Linked DNA regions of Lonchura striata. The protein of the gene in region 3 interacts with the protein of the main gene of each other region in a pairwise test. Links are inferred from orthologs where the notes say so. Each region holds a gene or a part of one and is shown on either strand. Other genes may lie near its edges.

Region 1 (7,522 bases), on a different chromosome or scaffold from region 3:
TTCAGCAAAAAGCTTCTTCTTTCAAAAATGCAAAGACTTAAATGTTACAAACTTACAGTATCTGCTGCTGTGTTGTTCATGTGCACCCTTTAAGTTTCTGTCCCTCAGTGATTTCTGATTTTATGAAGGAAAAAAAAATAAGTCAAACAACAGCATAAAAGTAGTTTAGTAATCCTGTAAGTAAGAGAACTGTAAATAAGACAACACTGCAGTACTTACCCAAGAATGAAAACTTCATTTTGTTTCTTTTTTCCCCTGTTACAGGAGATTTTGCTGTCCTTCTAAAAGCTGGTATGACTGTGAAGCAAGCTGTGCTTTATAACGCTCTGTCAGCTATGCTGGCCTATCTTGGTATGGCCACTGGGATCCTTATTGGCCATTATGCAGACAACGTTTCAATGTGGATATTTGCACTTACTGCTGGCTTGTTCATGTATGTGGCTCTTGTGGATATGGTAAGTGCCTAGACCTATTTGAATTTTGTAAGACACAGCTTAAGAATTAATGATTTGAAGCAACTGTTTCTTTTGAAGGCATTTAACACCTTTTTGTTTTTTTAGGTACCTGAAATGCTCCACAATGATGCCAGTGACCATGGATGTAGCCGGTGGGGATACTTCCTGTTACAGAATGCTGGGATTCTCCTGGGTTTTGGGATAATGCTGCTTATCTCAGTATTTGAACATAAGATTGTATTCAGCATAAATTTGTAATCCTGGTTGCCAGGAAGACACCTTGGTGTTAAATTATAAGTGGTAGGGGTTTTTTTTTCTACAAATTTCCTTATTGGAAAGGTACATTTGATATAGGCTAGATATTTTTGTTGGTGTGCTTTGTTGTTGTGTACTTCCCTCCCTTCTTGCCTGATAGAAAGGAATACCGTAAAGTTTGGGGTTTGTTGGGGTTTTGTTTGTTTTTAATTGTGTTTTTTCTACTTGGGATTTAGCATTGCTTATGGTACTTGAAAAGTGGTACTTAGTAAAACATGGCCAAATCTGTATTATTTTTATTGTCTATTGTTTGGGGGTTTAGGTTTGTTTTTTTACTGAATTTATTTACTGTATGTAATTATAAGTGATGTTTTTGACTTCAGTGGTTTTGCTGGTTTAAAGAGGTAAAACAACAGTGGTTTTTATTTTAGCACAATTAAAATCAGTGGATACAAAACACAGTGAGCAAAGTAAAACAAGAACAAGACATATAATGGTTAGCATGTGTTTATTGGTAAAAACTCGTCTCTTCTGCATCCAGCTGGTGTATCCGGGATGGCAGATAAGTTCATTCTGTCCTTTGTGGTGGTGCTGGTTCTCTCAGTAGCTTGTGGATTCCTATGTCATATTCCAGTTGGTTTCTGCGCCAAACTAATTGATGTAAAACCAAGTGTTACATCATATGTTTCACTTGTTTCATCCATTCTAAAAGGAGTTGCTCTTCACTGGTTTCTCAAATCCGTAACAAAAGTCCAGCTCCTAAATTGCTAAAGCTTTAAGATATGTGAATTCCATCAAAAAGACTTTAAAAGCAGTGCTGTATCCCACTTACACTGCCTGAAGTGACAAAGGTGTATTAAAGCCTCTTTGATATCAAGGGGGAGGAGTGCTACAGGCTGAGATAAACAGTCATTTCCTACAAAAGCTTCCTGAAGTAAAGTGTTGATTTACTTCGGGAAAGTGAGCTGAGTGGGAGAGCTGCCTACTTCTAGTTCAGTGTGATTGCACACAAACCTGTGCAATATTTTTTGCAGGAACTAAAGCCGAGAAATCCAAAATAAGGAAATTTCTTTGGTAGCATGTCTAGAGAAGCAAGGTGTTAAAGATAATAAGTGTATACTTAAGTATGTAGTTTAAGCCTACAGTCTTAATATGTTTAACCATCCTGAATGTCACTGAAGGAGGAAGGTTGAAAAAACCAATGGCAAAATAAATTCTGCATTTGCAGGGAAGGTGAACATGTCAAAGTTGTTTAATGGTGAATAAATAACAGAATTATGCTATCTTACTAGCTAGCTTTAAAAATCCCAGAAATAAAACGATTAGAACCTATTTCTGATCCACTGCTCCAAATCATCAGCTGAATAAAAAACTTAAACAACAAGAGAAATGTTTGATAATACTGTGTATGACAGGCTAAAACAGTTTGTTGGTCTCTCATACAATGAAAGCCAAGAACCATTCTGTCACCTCAGAAATAGATATTTTCAATTAATTGAGAGGTTTTAGGGTCTTTTAAGAGTTGAGAAATCAGTACCACATGAATTTTTGCAGCCAATGGACTATTACCTTTTCCTCCTCCTTCAGTCTTTCCTCAGGTTAGCAAGATTGATACTTACTTTTCTGCTCACAGTGATGAAATCCTGTTCTGTGCCTCCTTTGAAGCTAGGGCTTGAGAAAGGTGTACTTCCTTCAGCTCTCCAAATGCATCCCTGTGTCCTAGCGGGCTTTTTAGGGCTTAGGCATGGTGTTTACCTGTGGTGTGGGAAAACTCCATAAATACAGTGCACTTCATCCACTTTCTGCACTGCAATCCTGGCTGCTACAGAAATCTGTTGTCCTGGGGGATTTCAGACTTGAACGAGCTCAGTTTGCTTTGAATTTTTCACTGTTGGTTTCTGTTAGCCTACAGCCATAATAGCTGCCAGTTCAGCTGGATTTCTCTTATCTGGATATGTCACAGGAAGTGTGCAGGTAACCTACTGTTCTAGAGATTTTATGATTAATGACTAAATGATGGAGAAAAATCTACAAATTTCAGTGTTTCCAGTGGATTCTTAGCTGGCGTTTGATGTACTTGACTGACATTAAAATATCCACATATCAAAACCCATTGCTAATTTAAGAATCAAAATAATTATTTGCTTTTAGAGCATGTGGGCATTAATGTCTCTACCCTATACACAAGCATATGTCACCCATGCATTGTTCTTTAATCATTGATGGAGAAACATCCATGACAGGCAGCTGTCCAAACTGATAACTGAGAAGGTGGCAGACTAAAACTTGATGTAGTTTTGTATCAGCAGGATGATAAAATGTAGGTTATTATTTTTTTGTGTTTTGAGTTGGTTGGTTTTGTTGTTGTTTGTCTTTGTTGGCCTTACAAAGTAGAGTATGCGTCTGTTGCAAACTACTGTTGTTGGAAATACTCAAGGTTTGGCAAACTGGTGGGGCAGAGCCTCTAAGTAGCCCTTTATTTTTATGTGCATATTTTTCTGCAGCAGTTTTTAATGTGCTTGGCTACACTGGATACTAAATGCAAGTGTCTGTGTATCCATCTGTAGCTTAATAATGGTACAGACCTTAATTTTTATGCTGTTACAGCTGCCTTATTGCTTGTGCTAGATGCGGGTAAACAGAATAGGCAAACAATGCTGGAATCAATCTTGGTTTGGGTTTTTTTCTGTAACATATTCTTCTAATGGTTTTGGCCTGTATTTGTACAGAAGAGGTGTCGTGTTACTTTGGGCAGCAGGAGTCAAAGGTGTGGAGGTTCTCCAGGTTCTCCCCTGCCTGGCCTGTGGGGATCAGGTGCTGGTACAGTTTCTGTGCATCCTTTGTGCCTAAATGTGATGCCATGTGTGTTGTGGGAATACAGCTCTTTTATGTTTATATAAAGCACAGCCCAGGCTGTGAATTCAAAGGCTGGAAGAGAATTCACGGAGGCTCTCCTGCTGCCTGAACTGAGACACCACTGCAGTTAAAATCTCTGTGGAAAAACAGGGTCGTTCTGTTTTCCATGAGCAGAAAACAAAAAGATGTTTTAATGGAATGTGGATTGTTTTTCTTGGTTGTTTGGGTTTTTTTTAATTTAAAGTACGTTTTTGGTGTGTGTCTATATGGTTGCTGTAGCTGTTACTGTATTGCTGTGTGCTAGAGAAAATAAACCACTGAACCAAGCCGCCGGCGTCTGAGCGTTTTTCTCAGTGATGCAGGTACGGTGAAATATGTAAGAGCCTCGAGAGAAAAGAAAGAAGAACAAAACCAGGTAGTGCCAAGAGGTCGAACTGCTCTGCTCAGGGTTTCCCGTGCGGGGCGGGGCGGGCGCCGCCGGGGCGGGGCGGGCCGGGCGCCGCCGGGGCGGGGCGGGCGCTGCCGGGGCGGGGCGGGCGCCGCCGGGGCGGGGCGGGCGCTGCCGGGGCGGGGCGGGCCGGGCGCCGCCGGGGCGGGGCGGGGCGGGCGCCGCCGGGGCGGGGCGGGGCGGGCGCCGCCGGGGCGGGCCGGGCGCTGCCGGGGCGGGGCCGCCGCTGCCGGGGCGGGGCGGGGCGGGGCCGGGCGCTGCCGGGCGCCGCCGGGGCGGGGCGGGGCGGGCGCCGCCGGGGCGGGGCGGGCCGGGCGCCGTCGGGGCGGGGCGGGGCGGGCGCTGCCGGGGCGGGCCGGGCGCCGCCGGGGCGGGGCGGGCCGGGCGCCGCCGGGGCGGGGCGGGCGCCGCCGGGGCGGGGCCGCCGCTGCCGGGGCGGGGCGGGCGCCGCCGGGGCCGCCCCCGCCGTCATCTTGGCGCGCCGGGGCGGGCGGCGCCGGGCCGGGCATGGCTGCGGGGCCGGGCGGCGCCGAGCGGTACTTCACCCGCTGGTACAAGCCAGGTACCGCCGGGCCGGGCCGGGCCGGGCCGGGGTGGCGGCGGGGCCCTGACTCCTCTCTGTGCCCTTCTTGCAGACGTGAAGGGGCGGCCGTGCGAGGACTTCTGCGTGCTGCAGCACTCCAACAGGCGAGTGGCGGCGGCTGCCGAGTCGGGCTGCGCCCGGAGAGAGCCGCGGTGGCTGCGGCAGCCGGGACACGAGAGGGTTGGCCTGGGACACAGCACCGGGCAAATCGGCCTCCCCGTCCTTTCATTACTGCTCCAGTGAGAAGCAGGAGCCTTGGCCTCTTCCCCCCGCCGGCCCCCACACCCCCCGTACTGCCCAGCAGTGTCCGCGGTGCTGCCCTCGCTCCCTTGCTCCCTCCTGCGAAAGGGCCCCGTACACCATCCCTGGGGGTGTTCATGGAAACACTGGACGTGGTGCTCAGTGCCGTGCTGTACTTGGCACGGTGGTGTTCGGTCGTCGGCTGGACTTTTCTAACCTAATTGATTCTGTGATCATCAGTAGCAGAAGAGAAACGTTCCAAAAGGCCTTTCCCTAATGACATTTTGAAGGAGTCTGTTTAACTTGATTTAGAAATCCTTCAGTTTGAACAAACGTTCATCTTTTTCTAGATAAAACTTAATTGCTTTTTCTTGTGCAGTAACCGACAGTGAAGGCAAGATAGGAAAAGTGTCTTGCTTTTGCTTGGATGTAGCTGGATATCAGTAAATATGAGTAAATCAACCTGTACCTGATGTGGAATCTCCTTCCATACCTTACCTCCCCCTGCTGCAGCCCATTAGGGCATCGGGTGCATTTCTGGAGTGCTCAGTCTCAGAGAGAACAGAACCTAACTACTGTCCATGCAAAAACTAGCAGGGCCAGTGGCTCATGGGTTGAGGAAAGGTGAGGCAGTATTTGTGTTCCCAGTGAGTTGCCGGCTCTAGGAATTTAGAGTAAAAGGAAGGTATGCGTGGCACAGGGCAGAACCATCACCTCACTGCAGCCTTTGGAGTTGGAGCTTCTCTGTGGCTGTTTCCTGCAGTTCTTCCTCAGTTCTTCCAAAAGGGAAATTAGTGTACCTTCAAATAACAGGTGTGACAGTAACAGCAAGGTAGGACATCCTTCCATTTGTACTGAATACTAAATATAAGGTTACTAATCTCGGGTGTCTGGTATAAACAGTAGTTTAAATCCCACTGATTTGTTCAATTGTCTGTGAAGACTGTTCTGCTACTTTGAATTCTGAAATATCAGGACCCTTGGGTTCCACAGCAGCTTAGCCAGTTCTGTAAAGTATTTTACCATTATTATGTGTGGGGCTGTGGCTCTGTTTGCTGTTCCTAGGCAGTGTGAAGTTGTCTCTTGATGTTTTGTTTTACGAGGTCTCAGCTTCATCAGGTGACAGCTCAAAGATAATTTGTCATCTTCCTCTTAGAAGGAGGCTGGGGTGAAGGAAGTAGCTTTGCTGCTAGGACATGCTGGATACGTTCTCCAGGATCCAGCTCCCTCTTGTGGGAGCTCTGCAGCCAGAACTCCCCAGGAGTGTGAGGAGATGGATACAGCATCCACAGGGAGCGATCTGGTTCTGTGCCCTGGTTTTCTCTGCAGTCACTCTTCTTTTGATTCTGGTGCTTCCTGTAGGTTTTATACTCTCAAACAGAAGAGCTTCCACTCTCTTAATTTACTGGCAAGTTCATGCTTGTGCATTAGGCATGGTTCTAGGCCAGGCAGGCCTAGTCTCTTCAGCTGGGCTCATCTCAAACTGTCCCATGTCATGGTAAGAAATAACCTCCTTTAATAAAAAATTAAGTGCAAGCAGCAAGTTAACTAAGGCCCAGGTCATGGAAAGATTACTCAGCTGTTCACCACAAAGGGCTTTTAGCTGTTGAGAAACCCTGTTTTCTGTTACATTTTGTGACAGAAGTACACCATGCTTTTCTTGTCTTATCCCAAGTACCTACTTCAGCTACTGGCTGAAATGAACCAACCATGCTCTCATGGGGTATAACAGATGGCTTACAGCACTGGCTTATTTAAAAGCAGTGGTTTTGTTTCAGTAAGAAGTGTAGGGCTTTTGACAGTCCAGTCCAGTATCTCAAAATGAAACATTTTCCATGGGAGTGGCTTTAGGACAGAATGCCATTTTTGTTCAGTTTGGTAGGGCAGGTGTCAAGTAAGATAGGCAGAGAAGGTTGTGGGACTTGCTTAGAGCACAAAGCTGTGGCTTACAACTACAGTGGAATAATTGTGGTGTTCTGTTGTTTTTTTTTTTTTCAGAATCTGTGTCATCACCTTAGCAGAAGCCCACCCTCTTCTTCAAAGTGGGAAAACAATTAAAAACATTAATTACCAAATCAGTGCAAACTGTAGCAGACTTCAGAATAAGGTCTCTGGAAAGTCAAAAAGGGTATGGCTTTTTGATTTCCTTAGTTTTGATTTTAATCTCTCACACTCCCTGAGATCTTTCTGTCTTTTCTTGGATAGAAACCCAGCAGGTTACTTTTGTATTTCATTTAAAACCAGCCCCTCTGCACTTGAAGAATTTAGACTTCCTCAAGAGGTGCCTGTCTGCCTGTCCCAGCAAGGGTCTTGCAGTGCTCCTACAGCACTGGTGGTTTCCAATGCTGTTCAAACACACTTTTTTGGTAGTGTACAGAGGGACATAAACATCCCTGAAATAATAAAAACTTATTTCCAAGAAGATGTAAAGGATTTGGAGACTAGATATAGATGGGCCAGTTCAGTGTGGTGGGTTTTTGAAGGTACACTTTAAGTAAGCAAACACCAAAATGAAAGGTGCTGTTCCTCTCCTCTCTCCTCTGACTTCAGTCTCATAAGAACACAAGTTTGCTAGTCTGCAAGAAATTAATTAAATCTAAATCTGTAAGCTTGTAACAAGCTTTTATTTGATTTGTGCACATAACTAAGTTGGCATCTTCCCTTCTATAGGGAAGCACAGCTCTG
Region 2 (6,917 bases), on a different chromosome or scaffold from region 3:
TCTTCTTCTCCCGCTTCTTCTCCCACCATCCACGCACGTGGTCATACCAGGATCCGTAGGGCACTGTGGGATATGGTCAAGGGATTAGCTGAAAAGAGGGGTAGCGGGGGATGTCCTTCCCACTGGCATGGCAGGGTGGGCATGCTGTGGCTCAGCTCACACCTTTGCCGGCCATGAAGTTCTCCAAGAACTCAGCCTTTGTGCCAGGGTCGTGGTGTATCTTGGCCATCTGGTGGAAGTAGTAGTACGAGATGACAACATCCTTGGGGTTGCGGGCCATGTAGATAATCTGGAGAGAGCCAAGGATGTGTTTGGGAGGTACAGAGTAGTGCCTCCTTCCCACCAACCCAGATGGGGAGACAGGGAGCACCTGCCATGTTACCTTGCAGTCCTTCTCCCAGAAGGAGGTTGGGAGGAGCTGGACTGGGAGATGGGTCTTTACCAGCCGCGGGGATGGGGTGTTCTCCAGCTGATCAACACCTGTGGCACAGGGGACTTAGATGTTTGAGCCCCAGCACCCGCACCCTCATGCTGGCTCAGTTCCCTCTCTACCCAAGCCAGGCAGCCAGGCTGGGGAAGCTCACCACACAGACTCTTGGAGACCTTCAACTCCAAGAAGGGCACACGGTTGTAGATGGCATCCCGTCGGCACTTCTCCACATCGCCATTGTGGTAGATCATGTCCATGATCTCGCTCAGCCACGTTGTGCCTGCCACAGAGGGACAGCATTGCAGAGGCTGGTGTCACCCCATGCCCCTGGCACCCTTCCCCAGGACCACTCACCTGATTTGGGGTAAGTGGAGATGAGCAGGTCATCTGGACGTGCTTGGAAAGCCTTCACCTGAGGCCAGCCCTCGATGAAGCTCTTGTAGAGGGGAATGCCATGAAGGCTTCCCAGCTCCTGCCTGATTGCATCTTCCTGCTCCATGGCTGACAGTGGGTCTACACAGCACTGGCTGTCTTCCCTGCTGGTAGCCTTCACAACCTCTGAACTGGCTGGCACCTGTGCCAGGACTGTGCCTGGAGTAGTACTGGATCCTGTGCCAAGACTGTGCTTGGGGCAGTGCCCCATCAGGCGAAGTCCAGCCCAAATCACATGTGACAGAGGTATTGCCAGAGCCACGGGAGTGTGCCCTGATCCCTGGTAGGATACTTTGGTAATGTGGATGCTGGCTATGCACCAAGCCCAAGCCATGAGGGGCTGGGAATGGAGCCCAGCATCACCTCTCCTCCCACATGGCTGAACTTCTCCCCCAGCTATAGCCCCTTTAATGAGTGCCACGGGGTTGTGGAGGTACAGAGACAGCTCTTCCACCCAGGGCCCCCATTGCAGGCAGCCATACCTCTCAGGATTCCATGTGCTCTGGTGGCCATGAGCCCTGGCACCTCCACCCTCCTGCCACACCCAAGCTGTAAAGGTTAATGAGAGATGGCTCAGCTACGGAGCACAGCTATGGACCTGGCTGAGGGTGCTGCTAGCAAGGGTAGCCCCCCTCTCTGCCCTCCTGAGTGCTCCTTTGATGCCTCTTGTAGGAAAGGGATGAATAAGCTGATCTGCTCCATCCTGGATGATCTGATCCAGCAGGTTGTACAGTACAGGAACCCACCATGATGGAGCAGGTGCTGCTTTTGCTCCAGGAGATCGAGGAGAAGCAGAAGCCAAGTGGTGCCTGGCCCAGGCAGATGGGGTCTCTGGGAAAGGAGGCACCAGTGCGGGACAGAGCATCTGGACCATCTGCAGAAATACAGACTCACTACTCTGGCCTTCTGTATCCAATGAGGAAGATGGAAGAGAGTAAACGTGTCTGTTACCCTGACAAAAAAATACATGCAACATTTTCATCTGATGATGAGGAAATAACATCATGATCTTTACTTAAAATTGAAATACAGATGATGGACAGGGTTGGCAAACTGCTACCAAAACGGTGCTATATATGGTGGCCAAAGTTCCAGGAAAAGTCTGGCAGACTTACATGGGATGGAAACATACAGGGCAATCCCCAAAACAGAGAACTGGGAAAAGATGATTCTTTACCTCCTTCAACTTCCCCTGAATCTGCTAGACCTCATGGTGGAGAGGACAATCACACACAAGTAACTATCCCATTTGATCCAATTCAGGTGGTTGATTTGCAAGAGAATTTTGGCCATAAACTAGGTGATACTGAAATCCAGCAACTGGAATCCTATCAGTGCAGATACAATAATGGCTCATACATTCAGATTCCAGCTGACTCTCATCAACAATTAATTGCTAGCACCATTGAAATGCTCCAGGATAACATCTCTTTGGCTCTTGGTTGTATTCAAGCTAGTTGTGGGTGACAGCTGCCATCACATGGGAAGGTGAAGACAGTGCTCCCTTCCCCTTAAGGGTGGGATGCCACAGTGGGCTGCAATGCCCCCACAGCTCCAGCACACAGTGAGATCCCCCGACACAGCCAGAAACCTATCATGGCTGAAGCCCCGTGCCCAGCACCCCTCCTCAAGTGCTCCAGCTTTACAAGTGCAGTTACAAGGGAAAGCACTTTGGGGTCTGGACCTGTGACAGGTGGATTTATGGGGATGGCTATTAGCTCTCCCATTATGCTGTTTGGGGGATAAATGGATCAAAACCCTGCTCTTAGCTGGCTCATTGCTCTTTATTCCTGAACTATGTTTCTCATCCATCCCAGTGGGGCTTGGTGACCATCTCAGATCCCTCCCTTGTTTCTCATCCCTCAAAAATATCTGGGGGTGGTAGGCAGGAATGCTATCTGTAGCCCAGCGGGATGCTTTGATAACCAGCTCTCAGTCCACTGCCCGGAGGAAACGTTCATTGAGAAAAAGGATCTGCCCATGGGGCAGGACACGGTCCAGGAGGCCATCAGCGGCATCTGGACGGAGCAGGACATCAGCGCCAGGGCCAAGGAGGCGCAGGGAGAGGAGCAGGCGGGGAGCCAGGCGCCGCAGGGTGATCTCAGCCAACGACAGATTCTCCTGAGGTTCACAAACCAAGGCGAAGGCAAGGGCCAGCACCGATAACCAGACTACTGTCACCCGCTCAGGGAATGGGTCTCCAGGGGGCATCTGGAAAAGACCCCCTGGAGCATCTTGGAGTGACATCGGCTCATCGGGTAGCTGGGGAAGTTGTGGGGAGGACGGGCGCTCCAAGGATGACTGAAGCAGTTGACACTGGGAGGCCACTTGCCTGGAAGAGAAACGGGGGACCCTCGTGTTAAGGACCCCCACCTCATCCCGGGACAGTGACCTCTCTGTTGGGGGAACAGTGTCCCAGGATCCCCAGAAAGGGAGGATCCCATGAATGGGGGAGTGGGGGGCATGGTCCTGGGGTTCTCGCCGAGCCCTGTCCCCCGAAAGGGGGGCTGCCACACGCTCTCCTCAGGAATGGAAGGTGTCCCACAGTCAAGAGGTGTCCCAGCCCTGGGGCCAGGCAAAGCCCAAGAGCCCGCCCATCAAACAAAGGGCGTATCACGGCTGCGGGGATCCCAGGGACACGGACGGCACACGGTGGCGGTGTCGCACCGCGCCCAGCCACCCCGGAAGGAGATTCCCGCGGGGGGGATGTCCCGGCGTACCTGGCCACGGCCAGCGGCTGCTGCTTGCGGCGGAGGCGCTGCGGGGCCGCGGGGCCGGTGCCGGCGGGTCCCGAAGGAGCGCGCGGACAGCACGCGGCAGGGGGCGGGGCCACCGGCGCCAGCGGCGCCAGGCGCGCACCGTGGCGGCCCCGCGCGCCGGAAGCGGCGGCGCCGCCTCGGACGGAGCGGCCCTGGCGGCGGGGCGGGGCACCGGGGCGGGGTGCGGGCCGCGCGTCGCGATTGGCCAAGGCTGGCGGGCAGCGAGAGCTGATTGGCGGGCGGAGGGCGGTGGGCGGGGAAAGGGCGCGGGGCTCGGCCGAGGCGGGGGCGCTGCCCCGGCGCGTCCCCCCGGGAGCCGTGGCCTTGTCCCTCCCTGCTCCTGCTCCCGTCCCGGGATGGCTGCGTGCGAGATGGGCTGGACACGCCTGGGGGAGGACGTGTGGCCCCCGGTGGCTCAGGGTGATATGGCCAGGGCCAGCATGGAAAGGTGCTTGTCTGGAGTGGGGCATACGGAGAAGTGTGACTGGCACAGGGGACATGGAAGCGCCTGTGGCCAGAGGGCCGTGGAGTGGGACATGTTTGGGTGGAGACGTGAGACTCTTCCATGAGACCTTTCCAGCCATGGAAAACTTGTTTTCTGCCTCAAGTGATTTCAGCGGTAAAAATGTTTTTTGACAAATTCCTTATGGCTGTGGCTGGTTAATCCATGGGTTGAAGGTGGGGGTGGGAGGGTGTTTCTGCCATGTTCGGGGCATGTTTGGGAATGTGATATCCCAGCTATGGTGTCATATTCAAACTACTGTGTCCTTATTTCAGCTATAATGTTACATTCAAACTACAGTGTCCTTATTCTAGCTCCGGTATCCATGCCAGGCATGGTGTCCGAAAGGAATAAGACAAATGTGTCTTTAGAAACAGACCTCAATCTGCTTGTAGATAGAGCTAGGAACTTACAGATAGGGAAGTAACAGAAGAAACTATTAGTTCTAAAAAATGTTACTAATCAACACGGAATGTTGCTTAGCCAAGGCCATGTTAAATTCCTGAACCTAGAGAAAAGGAACAAAGACTTAATACCTTTACTTCTTTATTTTACATAACAAAAGGGGCCTGCGTATCAGAGGGGGGCATAGAGGAGGCAATTTGGGAAGTCTGTACCTTCCAAGTAACTCAGCCATCGGGAAGGAGGAAGAGGGTGATGCGGCCAGGAACTTAGGACAAAAAGGGGGCTGAGTCCCCCAACAATCTGGGAGACCCGATGGGAAATTGCCATGGGCCTCTCCCTCTATTCAAATAAAGCCACGCGACTCCTCTGTCCCTCTTTTGGACACAAGCCTCTGACATCGTGGATTCACGTTCCTAACGGCGTCCCTCGCGGAGCTGTCTCCCAGGAGTGGGTGTGCAGCGTTGTCCTCTCGCAGCCTTGCTGCAGCGCACGGCCAGAGCCGCGGCTCGCTGCCGCCGCCGGGGCTGCGCTGCTGCGCCGCGCCCGCCAGGCGGCGCCCGGCGCGGGGCAGTGCGCGGCGCGGGCGCGGAGCCTCTGAGGGGCCGCGCCTGCGGAGGAGCTGCGCGGAGCTGGCGGCTGCCGCTCCTTCGGGATTCCAGCTCGGGACAGGCTCTCTTTAGTTTCTGCTGCACCTCATTTGCAGCTCCAGGTGGTTTGTTTCTGTCCCCAGTTGGTCTCAGGTTCAGCTCATAGTATTTGTTCGTGCCTCCAGCATGTTTTAGGCTCCAATTTGGTTCACTTTCCCCGGCTTCTTTCCGGCTTCAGCTTATTTGCAGCTCCCGTTTGTTTCCGTGTTTGGTTGTGGCTCCAGTTCATTTCTGCTCCGGCTCGTTACTGCTTGTGCTTTTTCAAATGATCTTGGTTTTTGACAGGGCCACAAATCAATCACTATCGTAACTTAAATATGAAAAGACATAATTGTACGTTGTCTAAAGATGGACTAAACTTCTTGGACCAATGCAACTGGACCTTCAGCCTCCAGTGGGATTCCCCACAGGTGCCCCAGTACTGGATCCCACTGTCAGGAAAATCCACAAACGACAGAAGTTTATGTCGATACAGGAGAGACAGAGGAGTCCTGCAACTTTATTTGAATAAAGGGAGAGAGGCCCTCACACAAGCTCGCGGGGTTTTCTCGCTCAAGGTTTCGGAGGGCACAGCATCCGTCCTCAACTCCCAGCTGCAGGTTGCCCTCTTCCTTTCTCCATTGGCTGAGGTACTCGGAAGGTACAGCCTTCCCAAACTGCCTACCACATATTCCCCCTTGTACCTACCATTTTTCCCCAAAGTTGAGAAATTGAGGTTTGTACAGACCCACTTGTTTGTTTCAGGAGCTAAGCTGTCTGGTCTCTGCAACAAACCTGCTGCCCAAAGTTAGTACAGACATTAAGACCCGTTTCAAATATGTTAATACCAGTACTGTCACTCATCAAATTGTAAAGACATTAGCTTTCCTCTTACCACCTTGATGAATAATGGGAGTGAAGTTCCAAACAAGGTAAAGAACAAAGTGGTTAAGCAATGAAAGCAACAGTCACAGGAATGTGGAAGAGAGAAAATTTATGACCTAAGTTCTTGAACGGGGAAAACACAGAAAGATAACACTCTTCTAGTCCAGAATGTGTAATGATGAACTAAAAAAATCCCCAGTTTTGACTGGTTCTGTACTGTGAACTTGCCCTAGGGATGAACTTTTGCTCCTTATAATAGTAAAAACCACACCCCAGCTCAGGCATCTCCCCCTACAAAAAGACCACCATGCGCCAGTAACAACTTAAGCCAAGTAGTAACTTAAGTAAGACTTAATAGCCCAAGATTGTGCCTCGGGGTGCTGCCTCTGGGATTTACCACCCAGCACCTGTTTCTGTGCAGAACAGTAAATCAAATTATATGGTTAGAGAAATCTCATTTTTTACACTGACTGAGTTTGGTTGAGTATCTGATCCTGTGAGTTAACCTAGAGAAGCTCTCACCCTTTTCACCACACTGTTAATTCTCTCAGTGATTTTGATACAGGGAGATGATCCAATAAATGTTTGCACATTATTCTAGCAGGGAAGATACATTTTCCTTGAAAATAGAGCCCTGCAGTCTCAGACTGTGTTCAGTGGCTGTTGCTAAATCAAATTATTTTTCCTTCTTGTCATTACCACCCATTCTTACCTGCTACAAGATAACTGCTGCCCCCTCCAGCAATATCAGGGACCTATAGGGCAAGTCAGTTCAGCTATAGGTAATTTCAAAGTAGTTTATGCTGTGGTGACTTCATTGGTTTTGTTCTTTAAGCATTATATGCTAGCCTTACGCAGAATCCAGTACATAAAGGGGC
Region 3 (7,413 bases):
AGGCTGGACTCAATCTTGGAGGTCTTTGTCAACCTCAGTGATTCTGTGAACAGTTCATAAACTGCCTTTCCCCCCTTGTTTTTAAACACAGTTCCTTACACACCTAAATAAAATATAAATTCCCATGAATCTGTGTCCCACAGCTGTGTGTGTTCACTGAGATTTCCCCATGTCAGGGTATTAAGGAGCAGATTTTCTTCAGACAGTTTTTCTGATCCCAAGGGTTGAATGGATGGCAAAGCTCTTGCCTCTGATTTAGGACACATGCAGAATATCTTTTTTTCTTGCAATCACCTATTTCCCCAAAAACCCAGGAAATCAGCTTCTTACAAACTCAGCCCCCTGGGAAAACTTGGCTAGAAAATTTGAAAATTACTCGAGTGAGGTGGACAGGGAGACAGAGAAGCCCTGCAGGAACACAATATTTATTTTGGTAAGAAATCTGCCCCAACAACCCCTGCACAGGTGCAGCAGCTCTGGGGCAAGTTCTCACCTGCTTTTTGTCCTGCTAAACACAAACAGGAAACAGGAGGGACTGGGCAGCTCCACCTGAATGGAAGGGTTTGTGTATCCAAATCCCAAAGGCTTTGCAAGCTTAATGAGCCGGTGAGCAGGTGATGTAGGGGGCACTTGAGCATCATTGAGATGCAGCCACCTCCTGTCTGGAGTGACAAACATTTAAATGCTCTGAGGGAGAGCAGAACAGAAAGGTCGGCTTTAAAATGTGGGATTAGAGACAAATGTCTGAGCAGAGCGTGGCCACCTCTGCGGGAGGGTTCCTCTGCTCCGAGGAGGGATTTTGCATCTTCGGTCTCCCAAGTCTGGGCATCTGGCAGCACAGCCACGCTCAGGTGGTCAAACTGGAGCTTTTAACTTCAAGTTTTTGTCAATGAAGATGAAAAATACCGCTTGTTTGGCCGTACACTGCACTAAAAACAGACTAAGTAATTTATCCCTTAAGCTTGTGTTCTATACTTCCCTCTACCAAGTGGAAAAAGGGAGATTAATAATTTCATTTTCTACCTCTGGTCACAATAATGTTAACACAGGACTGCAACTGTCTGGATTAACAACCCTCAAGAAGTCTATTTACATACATTCCTCAAAAACCTGCTTTAAACTCTATTTAAATAGTAAAACTGACTAAGCCTCAAATATTAAATTCAAAATATCACAGAGAGTTTTGCTTTAAATTCACAAAGCCTTAATTATTAAGGAGTTACATTACATTTTGTCTTTTAGTAAAGTTTAAAAAAATATGTAAAGCCAAGCTGCTGAAGGAGTGAGGAATTCACTTGGTTTATTCACAAATGTAACACTCTCATGTGAAATTAAGTTCTCACCAGACCAGAACTTTGACAAATGAAGCTATAAATTGAAGTAAATAGAAAGAAATGAAGGGAAAAATAAGTTCTATTTTTGTAGCTTTTAAACTATTGGTAATTAAAAAAGGCAATGAAATATCACCACTTTTATCAGCAAAATATTTTCTTGCCTTTTTTTGTAATCATGAGTAGTATTACTACCCTGACATCTATGACCTAACTGGAAAATCTTTCTTTTTTCCTTCTTTAAAAGCAGCTAAAGTCATCTCTCTCCGTGGCTGTCTGCTGAGGCAAATGGATTCCTGGGAGTCAATGGATTCTTTCTACCAGATTCAAAGACAGTGACAGAAAAATAAAAAAGGCAATTTGTATTTTCTATACAGCTGTTTGCACAAGTGACATTGCTGGGCCTGCACCCCTGTTAGACTTTTGGATCAGGAATCCAGGAATGGAAGTGTTTGCACAATGTGTGTCTCTATACACATTATAAATGTGATAATTTCCACACAGTTTATACTTGTTACTATTTAAAACAGATCCAGAGCTTTCATATTCCTGACTGGATTAAAATGCAAGTTTTTTATTCCAAGATTTGCTTGCTTCTAGCTTGATTCCCTTATGGCTAAAGGCTGGTGCAGCCAACACACAAAGGTGCCTCATCTCCTAACTCCAAAAGTTAAAAAAAGACACAAAATACGTAAAAGGCATAAATATACCCAGCTCACAGCTTTCCTGGCAGGATTTGCAAATTGGATGAAAGTTTGGCAGTGGGGCAGTGGTTGAGGGGCTGGTTCCAGATGCTCAGGGCCTGGGAGGGGCAGGTTCTCCACACACATCCCATTCCATGTGCATCTCATGGAGAGCAGAGAGATGGTGGCTCAAACTTGCAGCTCCAAAACATTCAGAGTTGTGCAGGTTAAAGGCAGTGCTTGGAACTCCAAGTGAAGCAAACAAATCCTGCAGTGCATTCCTCCAGTATTAGTATCACATGCCAGCTTAAAATCTGGGGGGAAATGAGCACTGAGGATTGCCTGAGTGAAAGCACATTTGAGTTTGTGGGAGTCTGAGGTTTTCACCAGATTCTGAATCAGATCTGCAATCAGAATCCCAGAATGGTTTGGGTTAGAAGGGACCTTGAAGCTCATCTTATCCCAACCCCTCTGCCATGGACAGGGAACATTCCACTAGTCCCTCACCTCTACCCTGTTCTTCCAAATTCAACCCAAATCTATGAGAAAAGAGGATAAAGAGAGGATAAAAAAGAGGACTTGTCTCCTCACAACCCCAAATTCAGACACATCTCCAGAAAAATATAAGGTAAAATACCTTGTCTTATAATTCTCAGTACCTGAATTTAAAAACAATGCTAAAAATGTTGCAATACAGACTCCAGAGTTTGTATTTCCCCTCTCTACCCCTATGCAAGACTCTCAACATTAGAAGAGCTCTCCATTTACAGTGGGGTCTTTAAATAAAGATTTCCCAGTTTGCTTTCTTCCACTGAATTCTATCAGCCTCTACAATCACATCCAGGGGTGCTTGACTTTGCAGTTTTTGTCCCACTGGTAATAGCCATCCCTGCACAGATCCTTATCACACAGGTAAGATTAAGCAGGATCAAACTCCTTGACCACCTGCCTCTGGAATTAATTGTACACACTTCCACGGAGAGTGGTTTCCTAAAGGTCTTAAACCAGAACATTTACTTCTATGAAGCTTTGTTATAACACACTGCTCAGTCTCAAAACCAAGAGACAATCTTAAATTGAGTAATGGTGTCGCTTCAGATTAAATAAATCAAGTGTTGTGCTCAGGTATGTTGAAAACTGCTTGGGTTTTCACCTCCAGACCAAGAAGTGCAGCACATTATGTGTAACTGAAATTCTTCCTGGAAAAAAAATCGGCTCCTGAATCCAAGGTCTCCAAGAATGTGAAACAGCTCAAGAGAGGAGACCAATATCATGGGTCATGTACATTCTGACAGAAGACTGTAATATCAGAACCAAAACCCCTGTCAGAAGCAAGGTGCACCCTTAGCAAAGCTGTTCCAGGCTGATTTTTTTTGTTGTTGTCGTTAGTACCTCCCTGTATTATCACACTGCAGATGGAAAACGTCTTCATCACAAACCACAGGCATTTATTCACGTTCCTCGCAGAGTCCAGCAGAAGCCACACGTGCAAGGGGACAGCTCCGAACCAGACTCATGTTTAAGGCTGGGAAGGCTGAGAAACATTTTCTCCTCCTCTTACTAAGATTTGATCCTATCCAACACCTTAAACTTGGGCAACGCCCCCCCCCCCCCCTTACCCTCCCCACTCAGGGCCGACCCCCGCCTTCCCCCACACCTCAGGGCCGACCCCCGCCCCTCCCTCAGCCCCTCCCCGCCCCACTATCACCCCCTTATCCCTCAGTCCCCCCAACTCCCTCAGCATCTCCTCCCCCACCTTTTCCCTCAGGCCCCACTCCAGCGCCTCAGTTTCCCCTCACGCCCGGCGAGGCTGAGACTGCGCAGCCAGGAGGCGACCGGGGGAGCGCCCCCCCCGCCGCCGGGGGAAGGCCGAGCCCCCTCCCCGCCCTCATGGCCGCCCGCCCCGGGCACTCACCAGCTTCATCGCGTCCACCGGTTCTATTTACCGGGACAACCCTGCCCGCCTTCCTGCCCGCCCGCCCCGCCGGCCCCGGGGCATCATGGGAGTTGTAGTCCCGCCTCCCCATCGTTCTCAGATAACGTCATGGCCGCCCGACGCCTGCTGGGAGTTGTAGTCCGCCCCGAGCGCAGCCCCGCCGCCCCATTGGCGCGCCGCGCGCCCGCGGCTCTCTGGGAGTTGTAGTCCCGGCGCCGCGGGTCTCCCCGTCACCCTGGGGAGGGGGGAACTACAAGTCCCAGGGTCTCACAGCTGCAGCAGGTGGGGGCTCGGATGTTGATATCAACATGGCGCTTGTCAGACAGACAAAGACAGTCGGTCTGGTGTGATTGAGCCAAAAAAAAAAAAAAAAAAGCCCAAAAAAAAAGAGAGGGAGCGGGCGAGGAGGAGGGAGCGGCAGGAGGAGCGCCGGGCGGGGAGGGGGCTGTGTCCTCGGGGGGCGTGGGGGGGCTGAGGGATTTCCTCCCCCCTATTGTTCTCGTCCCTCCGCGCCCCCCGTTAATCTCCCCTCAATCTGGGGCGGGGGCGGGCGGGGGGACCCCCCCAGTTCCGCCGGTCCATGGTGAGGCGGAGGCGCCGGCAGCACCCAGAGGTGAGTGTCGCGGGGGGATACGGGGGGGGAGCGGCGGCGGCGGCGAGGGGAGGGGGCGGGCGGGTGGGTGGGCTGGAGGGAGGCAGGGCAGCGGGAAGGGGTCTCCCCTCCGCCCGCACCGCCGGGAGTCGCGCCGAGCCGGAGAGCGGGATGTGCGTGAGGGGGGCAGCCGGGGGCGGGCAGGGGTGGGCAGGGGCAGCCCCTCAGCACGGGCGGCAGAGTTGGAGCCGCGGCTTTTGGGGGGCTCCGCGGGTGCCCCGGATCGGGGGAGGAGGAGGAGGAGGAGGAAGGTGTCCCCAGGAGGCTGCAGCGGGAGGGCAGGGCGCCTTTGGGGTTCGCTGCTCCTGCCATTTGTATATCTATTCCGATTCCTCCCATCTCCCCGGTGTGGGGCACGGAGTGGCGGCCGCGGAGCCCCCTCAGCCTGGGTGGGTGCTGCGGTTTTGGGGGTGTTTGTTCGGGTGTTGCTCGCCGCGGAGTTTTGGGGTGAGCTGGTGCGACCCCCGGCGCTGTCTGTCCCGGGGACCCCCGGGGACGGCAGGGGAAGGAGGGAGGCTCCGATCGGGGATGGAGCCGGCTACGGAGCCCCCTCGCTCTGCCGGGGAGCTCTGCCCTGGCTGGGGCTGTTCGAGGGCTCCGGGGGCTCCTTTTCGGCTGCTTTTCGGGAGCTTTGTGCCGCTGGAGGTCGGGGAACGGGGCTCAGAGGTGCCCCAAACCCTGCCGTTCCCAGGCTTCGGGAGGTTTTCTGGGAGGGCAAAGGCGTGAAACCCCCGAAAGGTGTCTGTGTGCCGGAGAGTTTAACGTGGGAACGGGTGGGGGAGGAGGAGCACCCGGAGGAAAGTCATTCCCAAAATGTGCGAGGAGAACTTGGGTGGGGTGTCAGACGCTTGTTTGTTTTGTACTTCTTGGGAAGAGGTGGGGAACGGGGGTGGCGGGTGAATGGTTTTGTGTCCCGTGTCCGGGATGGTTTTGGGTCAGCACGGTTTGACCGCAGGAGCGGTCGGGGGGAAGCGGCAGGAAATTCTGCTGGAGTGTTTGCCTCAGCTTCGGGGTTAAAACAAAACAAGATGCGAGTATGTTTAGGTGCCGAATACACACCCGAGCCAGACCCCGCCGAGTTCCTCGACCTCAGTTTTGTCTGATGGGTTCTTTCCTTTCTTTCTTCTTTTTCCTTTCATTTTTTTTTTTTTCCCTAGTTGGTGGAGTGCCTCTTGGTATGTTTGCAGAGCACTCCTTCGGAATCATTTTGTTCTTTGAGATAGGTCTGGAAAAGCCTCGGTTGGACGTGCTGTTTTTTCCCCCAGTTCTTTCGTGTTAGGGACAAAAAAAAAATGCTGTTTGGGGGGTGGGGAAGGAAGAAGGAAGAGGAAATGAAGGTTTAAGCATGTTTGTGGAGTCGGGTCTGTCTCAGTTCAGGTAACTCTGGGAGTGTGATTCGATGGCTTTTAAGTACAAAACGTTTATGAACAAAAAACCGGGGAGATTTAAACTTTGTAGGGAGGAAAGCGTTAAAGTGATGGCCAGGGAACGCGGATCTGGGAGACGCTACTTACGTCCCCTGCTTCTAACTAGTGGAGATAGAGGGAATGAAAAACTAAAACACTGGGGAAAAATACCCCTGCAATTTGTATAAATGATGCCATGTAAAATACCGGAGCTAGGAATTGTGCTCTGCAGACAATTGTTGGGCTGGTGAAAGCCTGAAGTGCCTGCTCTGGTCCCGTGATATGACTCGCTCATTTCTGCAGGGCTCATCAGGTACAGGCTCTGCTTCCTTCCTGGGATGGTGCAGCTGGCATTTGATTTCCTCCGTGGATGGGAAAGGAGGAGTCCTGTGCAGTTTTTTTTTCCCCGAGATGATTGCATTTTCTTTGGCCTTGCTGTACCCTGCCTCATTAGTAGGAACTGCATCTATACTTATTTACCATTATACCGTGTCCCTTGGGAAGCAGGGTGTAGTTTGGAGTAGGTATATATGGATTTATCACTCCTAATATTTTTTTTCCTCCCATCGTGCTAAGACCAAATCCGTCAACAGCAGAGAACAAACTTAATTTATTTCTGTGTTTCGCATCTCCCTTTTTACCATTTCTCTTCCAAATTGCTAAGAAAACATCTCTGAGATGGAGACGGGGGAGAGGGAGGAAAGGGATGGAAAACGTCTGTGCAGGGATGCATTTGTTATTTGCATGTCTGGGAAAGAGCAGGGTTTGTTTCTGTATGTGAAAACTGGGGTTTGGGAATGTTTTTTCCCTTATGTGAGGATTATTCTTTTAGCCCTGTGATGGCCACAACTTTTTCTGTCTGGTTGAAAGAATTACCCGAGGAGCCTGGGAAGGAGGCTGGGAGCAAGGAACTTGTGTTTCACTCCGTGCTGCCTGTTCTTCCTCCCCTCGTTCCCTCAGCACCAGTGCAAGCACCAGAACAGGCATCAGCATTTTTACTCCTGTGTCATCCCACTGTTCCCAGCAGGTCTAGACGACGTTGTGGTATGCAGGCTGCCAGCTGGGTTACAGGAATGCTATCCTAGGTGAAACAGCAGGATTTTTAAGGAGGGGTAAGGAAACCTGGGAGAAAATCTTGTGTGAATGAGGCCTGGTTTTCTCTACAACTGCTTCACTGAGCGGTGTCAAGAAACTCCGTGGGTTTATTGACCTTTCTGGACAACATGCATCTCTCTAGCATTGTGATTCTGATAATTCCATGGAGTCTGTAGCTGCTGTCAGCTGCAGGGAGCTTATTTTTAAGGCAGTTTCTGTGTGGGTCTTACTGATCTCTTACAAAGGGATATTAAAAGTTGATAGCTGTGCAGTGTTTTGAAAATTAAATTATTATAAAGTGTTTACTTTA
Region 4 (7,186 bases), on a different chromosome or scaffold from region 3:
CTCAGGACTTTGGAGACACAGGGAGTCAGCAAAGGTCATGAAGTACTGTACTTAATAAACTACCCCATATAAAATAACACTTAATAGACAAAATATGGTTTTCTAATAGTCACAGAACTTACATTTTAATTCAGAGGTGACCAAAACAACGAATTATTTATTCTTTCAGGATTTCAATATATTAAATCTGAACTGTTTCCAGCTCTTCCTCGGTGTTTCAATATTCCAGTTTACACACTCTAACTCTTCAGCACATCTCCTACCTTTTGCAACACTCTGCTTGTCTGTGTGATCATCTGAAAGGCACAGGATTTTGCTGTGGCTGCCTTCCAAGCAGCAGCAATCATTTGGACCACAATATCAAGCAAGCAACTTGCTGGACTACATGTCACAAAAATAATAAAGCATTCTAACATGCTGCAGCAAGCAGTACACACCAAACAAAATTTTCCAACCCCAGGAATAACAAATGTCACTCTCGGTAGCATTGCTTTCAGGCCCTGGAATTACAGTACAAAATGCACTCTCAACACCCCAAGTTTTCACCCTGTCAGGTCAAGATAAAACTTTGCAAAGATTGAAAACAAGGCACAGTCCTTATTTAAACCACTAAAAACAAAGAGTCCCACTCCTGGTGGTAAAGGGAAGGAGCAAGGACCCACAGACGTGGATTTAACCACGTACAGCAAGAGGACCACGAGAACAATGACAGAGAAAGAAAGTAGCAACCAGCTCTGGAGGGCACAGGGCATAATGACGCTACTTCCAGAAAACCCCTGCAAGTTACTTCTGTTATTTCCTCAACCCCGACAGGCACTTGGATAAAATCAGGATTAGATTTGGACTTCCACTCTATGAAAAATAAGAAACTGTTATCTTAGTGTTCCTTTATGCACCTGGTGATTTTCGAGAAATCTACACCCATACTTAGTCAATTGCACATAAAATCTCAGCTTCTGAAAAAAACAGTAAACGAACAAACCCTACAAACAAGCCCAAACATCCGCACCCCCCTTCCACTCGCGTAAGTTAAGAAGAAAGAAAACGTGATTTCTATGAGTCTCAAAAGTCTGATGGAAACCAAAGACCTGAATTTTTTTTCTGTCTTCTTAAGATTTTTAGGCCAATTACATGGTTTTGGGGAACTGACTCACGAGGAGTTTGCTGGGCTGGTTTTAATCTTCGAGGTTAGGTCTAGTCATGCTGAAATACGGGTACTTGTATAGTTACAAAGATTTTGATCTAACATATATTCAAAGTCCATTTCTGGACCAAACCACGTAATTCTCCAAACTTAACAGCAAAACTACCTTAAGAAAATACAAATAAAATTCTAATTGTTACTTAACTGGAACTCCAGCAGGGAAGTCTGATACTTTTTCTGCTAAACACAAGGAAAAATTGTGCAAGTTTCTTAAACTATTTGAAAGGACTAATTAGCAAGGGGCACACAGCACTTTCACACTGTTTTTATGTCCTTTTTCCACCATATTTTCAGTTTTTCAAGTAAACTGTTGCATCCAACATCGAGGAGAGCTACTACATAAGCCATGTTCTTTGAAATGCTTGACTCAGTAGGCTGAAACAGATCTGAATGGTAGAATTCAACCATGTGTGAGAATTCGGTTGTGCCTTTTCACCAGAACCCAGCTAGAATCTTGGTAAAATGAAATGTGCAGCTTTAACGTACAACAGCTTAAGAACTCATCCTTACAGATTCTGAAATTCAGAATTACAGAACTCATTCAAAGATGACTCTGAGCCTCCAAATACTGAACCTCACTTCACACCGTGCATGACTATTACTTGCGCACACGTAATGCAGGAAAGGCTGGTCTCCCGAGTAAACTCGTTTTTGTTTTTTTTCCCTTATGTTTTAAGAGGCTTTCATCACTCGGTTTTCTCCCTCTAGAGCAGAGACCCTGCTGTGGGCGCAGGTAAAACCGTATCCAGAAATGCATTTCCCATCCCGAAGCTCCAGTACACCCCATCTGCGCGCTGCCGCAAGACACAGCCTTGAAGAACCCCGAAAGCACTATCTGAGAAAAATCCGCAGCTTCCGAGCCAAGAGGCCCCGGAGGAAGCCGAGGAGGAGGCAGCGCCCGGCGGGGTCGCTCGGGGCTCTCGGGGAGCGGCGGCGATGGCCGGGGCGCGCCCCCTCCTCCGCGGCCAGGGCCGGGCAACCGGGGAGGCCCGAGGAGCATGGGCGGGGGTCCGGCACAAGTTGGCCGGAGAAACCTGTGGCTGCCGTGACAGCCCCGCGGCCGGGAGCGGGGCGGCGCCCGGGCAGCGGGGGCTGCCGAGGCGGAGACGCGGCCGGCCACTGACCTGTCCTCCGAGTCCATGCGGCTGAGGGGCTCCCCGTCCGAGGACATCTCCAGGCTGCCCCGCCGGCCCCCCGACGTGGCGCTGCCGCAGCTGCTGCCGCCGCCCGTGCCGGGGCCGGTGCCGTATCCCTCGTCGCCGCCGCTGGACACGCTGCTGGAGCTGCTGCCGCCCCCGCCGCGGCCCGGCCCGTCCTCCTGGCTGCCCCGGGGGCCCTTGGGCTCCTCCTTGGCGTCGGCCTCGCTGCCGCCGCCGGGGCTCGGCGAGCGGGTCTCGTCGCTGCAGCAGCCACTGCTCGTGCTGCTGCTGCTGCCCACCAGGCTGCTCTCCTCCTCCTCACCGCCCTCCTCCTCCTCCTCTTCCTCCTCCTCGTCCTCGTCCTCCCCGTCCCCGGCCTGGCTGGCGCTCTCCGGGCTCGGCTCCGACATGCTCTCCGCCTCGCCGTTCAGCAGGAGCAGCGGCTCCGGCTCCGCCGCGGCCGAAGGCGGTGCCGGCGGCGGCGACGACGAGGAGGATCCAGCCCCACCGGCGGCCTCCACCTCCGCCGCCGCCGCCGCCACCTCCGCCTCCTCCTCCTCCTCGGCGGGCGCCGCCTGCCCGGGAAGGCGCCGCTGGGGCTCCGCCATGTCGCTGCAGCGAGCGGCCGCCATGGCGCCTGCGAGTCGCTGCCGCGCGCGCGGGGCCGGCCGCGGGCGTGCGCGCGGCGGGGGCGTGCGCGCGCGGCCCCGTGCGCGCCCGCGCGCCCGCCGCACGCTCCCGCCGCCGCTTCCTCCCCCCCTCCTTCCTTCGCCCTCCTCGCGCACCCGCACCGCCGGGGAGGGGCGGGGCCCGGCTCGTGCCGCCGCCGCCGCACGCGCTACGGAGCGCGCCGGGGGACAAACAACGCGCGGAGGGCGGAGCGGCGGCGGCCACCGCCGCCCCCGGTGCGAAGGGGCGGTGGCGGGCGCGCTGCGGGATCCCGTCTGGAGTCTGCCGGGGATGCCAGCGTGAATCCCCCAGGGATCCCCGCTGGAGTCTGCCGGGAATCCCGTTCGAAACCCCCGGGCATCCCGGCGACTTGCTGGAATGGCGCGATCCCAGTCCCCGGACTCCATGGACAGCGGGGGAGTGCCGCGGGACGGGCCGGGAGCCGGGAGCGAAGCGCTCGCGGTTGCCCCGCCTCGCTCCGGGACAAACCCCGGCGCTAGCAGCAGCACCCCAGAGCCGGGCAGGGACATTCCCGGCTGGCGCTGCAGAAGGAGCGGAGCCGGAGCAGGGTGGCCGCGGCGGAGGGCGGGGCGGCAGCGATCCGGTGGCACCGGGCACTGCGGGCCCCTCACGGGCACTGCGGGCCCCTCACGGGCACTGCGGGCCCCTCACGGGCACTGCGGGTCCCCTCACGGGCACTGCGGGTCCCCTCACGGGCACTGCGGGTCCCCTCACGGTCTCCGCGGGGGTAAGCGGGACACGGAGCGCCCGGAACGGGGGAGCCGAGGTTCCTCGGGAAGAGCTGCGGCGCGCTGAGGAGCCAGCCGGGCAGGAGTGCCCCGGCACGGCTCGGCAGAGCCAGGAAGGAGACGGGGAAAGGGTTTCAGCGCCACTGGCAGAAAGGAGTGGGAAACACCGCGCTGTGCAGCGAGAATGAACCAGAACTGGCCTGAAACCTCCCTTGGCAGGGAAAAGGCTTCCCGGCTCCCGGGGAGAAGCTGTGTGACCAAAGGGGACTCTGAAGTATCACAAGATGGTTTGGATTGGAAGGATCTTCTCATTCCAAAGCCCTGCCCAGGGACACCTTCCACCAGACCAGGTTGTTCAGAGCCCCTTCCAACCTCACCTTGGACACTTCCAGGGATGGGGCTTCTCTGGGCAACCTCTGCTAGGACCTCACCATCCTCACACAGCAGAATTTCTCCCTAATACCCAATCTAAACCTATGGATGTATAAAACGGGAAAGGGGAAATCTCAGCAGGATGACTGTCAATCACACAGAGGGCTTCAGAACAGTTTGAAAATTAAGGTCATTTAATGATCATGTAAAATGGGATCAAGTTTACTATAAAGTATAAAGTACATAGGATGGGGATTGGCAGTAGAGCAGAAAGGTAGAATCTGAACACAGAGATATAATCAGGTAGTTTGACAAGTTATTGGAGAGATGAGAATCTCTCATACCAATATTACCAATATCTCTCACACCTATTCAATCACAGGTAAATTAGCCAAAGGTAATAAAATTCTGTTCCATGTGAATTTTAAATATCTTGCGTCTGTCAGTCCTTACCCAATGCTTACAGAGCTTGCCACATTTAACACAAAAATCATGAAGCCGTGGTCGTTAAGTTTAAAAACAAAGACCCACAGCTCAGTCCAGAAAAGCATTGTGCCTTCTGCACATGAGGAAGATCACCAGCTCAAGTTACAGCAGGCACACCTGGCATGGCCACAGAGATCCTGGATTCCAGGAGAGTTAACTGCGTAGGATTAAAATCTGGAGAAGGTGCTCTGAAAACCTGCATTTACATAGATGGAGATGGCTCCCAGCCCATCAACAGATGTAGCTGTGAGCAGCAACAAGAACAAGCTGTGGTGTAGCAGCCAAAAGAGAGAGGCACAGCACTGAAACAGCAACAGGGGGTTGGGGACTCAACACTGGATTAATCTTTGAAAACAAACCAAGAACATATTTTGCCTGCAGAGGAGCATAAGCAAATTTTGGAAACCAACCACAATGAAAAAGTGATGATAATTCCTCAGATTTCTAGAAGTCAACCTCAGCTAGAAAGTGGAAATACTAAGAATGTTTAAAAAAAAACAAAAACAAAAAAAAAAAACCACGGCGGGGGGGAGACAAAAGCAACAGCTGCAATGCTGTTTCTCATCTGTGTAAGATGTGTATTGCAGGTCTCCTAACTGCAGCAAAATAGCCACCAAACCCTGAGTTTCTGCACCCTGTTCTGCCTTTCCTCCGGGTAACAGCGTGTGCTGTGCTTTGCTCTCCGCGGAGGAAGGCGTGGGGCTCCGGGTGGGTGTTGCAGTTACTCACTGGTCTAATCAAACACGGAGCGTGACGTTTCAAAAACACCCCAGCCTCTGATTCAGCCCAGAAACGGCAGTAGCTGAAATAATTCTTATGTCTCTAGTACCGCTGATGCCCTTCTGCAGTTCTGTGCTGCAGCAAGGGACAGAATCAGGGAGGTATCGAGTCATGAGAAACCAAAAATATATCAAGGACTTCGTAAAAGACGCCTTTCACAAACGATGAATATGAGATAAAGGGGAGAAAAGTTATCACAACTCCATGTACCCTAATGTCAATCGTCCTGATCGGCTCCGCTGAGTGCTCAAGGCAATCAATGTCTTTTTTTTTTCCTTCCCTCCCAGGTCTCTCTGGGTTTCCTGAGGTGCTGTGTGCACGCAAAGGCTCCCTGTGTTTGGCACTGAAAGCGAGCAGGGTGATTCGACCTACCACTTTCCGCTCTCCTAAGCGGGGCGGTACAGACGCCAGCTCGTTAGGTAATTTGTGTATTCAAAGAGGGTCAGGGAAGGAAACCTCGGGACATTTCTATTGCCTGATGGAAATCACTTGGCATTTAAGCAAGCGCTCAGTACCAACGGGGTCACTGCTGCAGCAGGCAGGCATCAAAGAAAAACTCCGTAGTAATCTCTCAGTATCCTGCTCTCAGGTTTTCAAACACACAAAATTCTGCGTCCAGGTCGTCTCTTGAGTGCTGCAATAAAGTCCTAATCAAGTGCAAGCAGCAGTGATTATTGCTCACTGAGCTTTCTCGGTACAAACCCACACAGCTTACCAAAGCTAGATTTCTTTTTTTCCCCCCAAGGTTTTTTGACTTTTCAAACCTCTTGAAAGAGATCTGTCAGAGAACAGGTGATTCCACAACTTGCAAAAGCAGCTAAATCATTTACATTTGAATGCTGTGATAAAAGCTCAAAGGAGGAGACTCCTGTTAGGAAATCCTTTGGAGAAAAAACCACATCATTCACTTGGGTGGATGTTACACTGTCGTTCACACAAAGGGTCTCTGATGTGCTCAGTCTAGCTTGGTATGATCACCTTACAACGGTGCTTTAAAGCTCAGACATTTGTGCCTGACATTTGAGGAATCAACAAAGTACAAAATAATAAAATACATTTTTAAAAGCCGGCAGATAAACCAGGAGAAGCTTGTTCGCAGGCAAAAGATTCCAAGCAGGACGATTAGTTCAAGAACAAACAACTTGTAGACACAGCAGAGCAGGGAGAAGAAATGAAGATTTTATTCTCTTACCTCAGGAGCACCAGGGTGCAGGGCATTCACACTGACAGCGGGATCAGTAACAAAAACACTCCAGAGAAGTAGTTTCTTCTTTTCTTGATTCACAGCAATCTTGCTGTTTTGTGAGGTTTTCTTGAAGGACACTTAGGTGAGATCACCAGAAGATGTATGTAAGGCAGGTTTCTTGAGGTTTTTTTCCCTAACTTTGATCAGCATTATAGTACTATGTCATAGAGTATGCAAGAAAAACACTTCAAAACAGCAAGAAAGGCCTATATAGAGAGAAGAAAAATTAAATAGACCTGAGGTACAGGAAAGGTGCCATCCAGTCTTACACTTGCTAGGATACCAGGAGAGATTCTGTAAAGCCCAGCATTTGCTCCCTGAGCTCCCTTCTCCAACCCCTGCCTCCCCATGCACCTCTTAAGCGGTGCAGGAAATTCCTGCTGCCTGCACCTCATGACTCACCTTGCTCAGTATTCTGCCTACTCAGCAGCCTCTGGAAACTGCACCCTTCCCTCCTTTCTGCCCCACCCTTCTCCATCCCAGTTCAAGGTCTGGAGGAAGAGGCTGCCATCTGTCATTGCTTCCAGTGAGCAGTGCTGGG

What was found.
Region 1: the proteins of HMBOX1 (region 3) and ABITRAM interact in binary tests that used the Homo sapiens proteins (3 or more experiments, as listed by UniProt). The two-hybrid records come from large-scale screens. The link is inferred for Lonchura striata from reciprocal best matches to the Homo sapiens genes HMBOX1 and ABITRAM.
Region 2: the proteins of HMBOX1 (region 3) and SH2D4A interact in binary tests that used the Homo sapiens proteins (3 or more experiments, as listed by UniProt). The two-hybrid records come from large-scale screens. The link is inferred for Lonchura striata from reciprocal best matches to the Homo sapiens genes HMBOX1 and SH2D4A.
Region 4: the proteins of HMBOX1 (region 3) and AEBP2 interact in binary tests that used the Homo sapiens proteins (3 or more experiments, as listed by UniProt). The two-hybrid records come from large-scale screens. The link is inferred for Lonchura striata from reciprocal best matches to the Homo sapiens genes HMBOX1 and AEBP2.

Annotation. Positions count from the first base shown.
Region 1 is NC_134603.1:61,640,037-61,647,558, forward strand, and holds the start of ABITRAM (protein Abitram), read left to right. Parts: upstream 1-4,504; 5' UTR 4,505-4,521; coding exon 4,522-4,576; intron 4,577-4,649; coding exon 4,650-4,701; intron 4,702-6,835; coding exon 6,836-6,965; intron 6,966-7,522. Other genes in the region: SLC39A6 (zinc transporter ZIP6), read left to right, coding at 265-455, 561-713. UniProt on the Homo sapiens protein: Actin-binding protein that regulates actin polymerization, filopodia dynamics and increases the branching of proximal dendrites of developing neurons.
Region 2 is NC_134606.1:45,007,625-45,014,541, forward strand, and holds the start of SH2D4A (SH2 domain-containing protein 4A), read left to right. Parts: upstream 1-3,906; 5' UTR 3,907-4,240; intron 4,241-6,917. Other genes in the region: sulfotransferase 1 family member D1, read right to left, coding at 1-63, 163-289, 383-480, 585-710, 785-1,196. UniProt on the Homo sapiens protein: Inhibits estrogen-induced cell proliferation by competing with PLCG for binding to ESR1, blocking the effect of estrogen on PLCG and repressing estrogen-induced proliferation. May play a role in T-cell development and function.
Region 3 is NC_134605.1:111,909,915-111,917,327, reverse strand, and holds the start of HMBOX1 (homeobox-containing protein 1), read left to right. Parts: upstream 1-4,407; 5' UTR 4,408-4,563; intron 4,564-4,639; exon of another isoform or gene 4,640-4,715; intron 4,716-5,935; exon of another isoform or gene 5,936-5,963; intron 5,964-7,413. Other genes in the region: INTS9 (integrator complex subunit 9), read right to left, coding at 3,930-3,938. UniProt on the Homo sapiens protein: Binds directly to 5'-TTAGGG-3' repeats in telomeric DNA. Associates with the telomerase complex at sites of active telomere processing and positively regulates telomere elongation.
Region 4 is NC_134607.1:8,163,402-8,170,587, forward strand, and holds the start of AEBP2 (zinc finger protein AEBP2), read right to left. Parts: upstream 3,003-7,186; 5' UTR 2,976-3,002; coding exon 2,329-2,975; intron 1-2,328. UniProt on the Homo sapiens protein: Acts as an accessory subunit for the core Polycomb repressive complex 2 (PRC2), which mediates histone H3K27 (H3K27me3) trimethylation on chromatin leading to transcriptional repression of the affected target gene.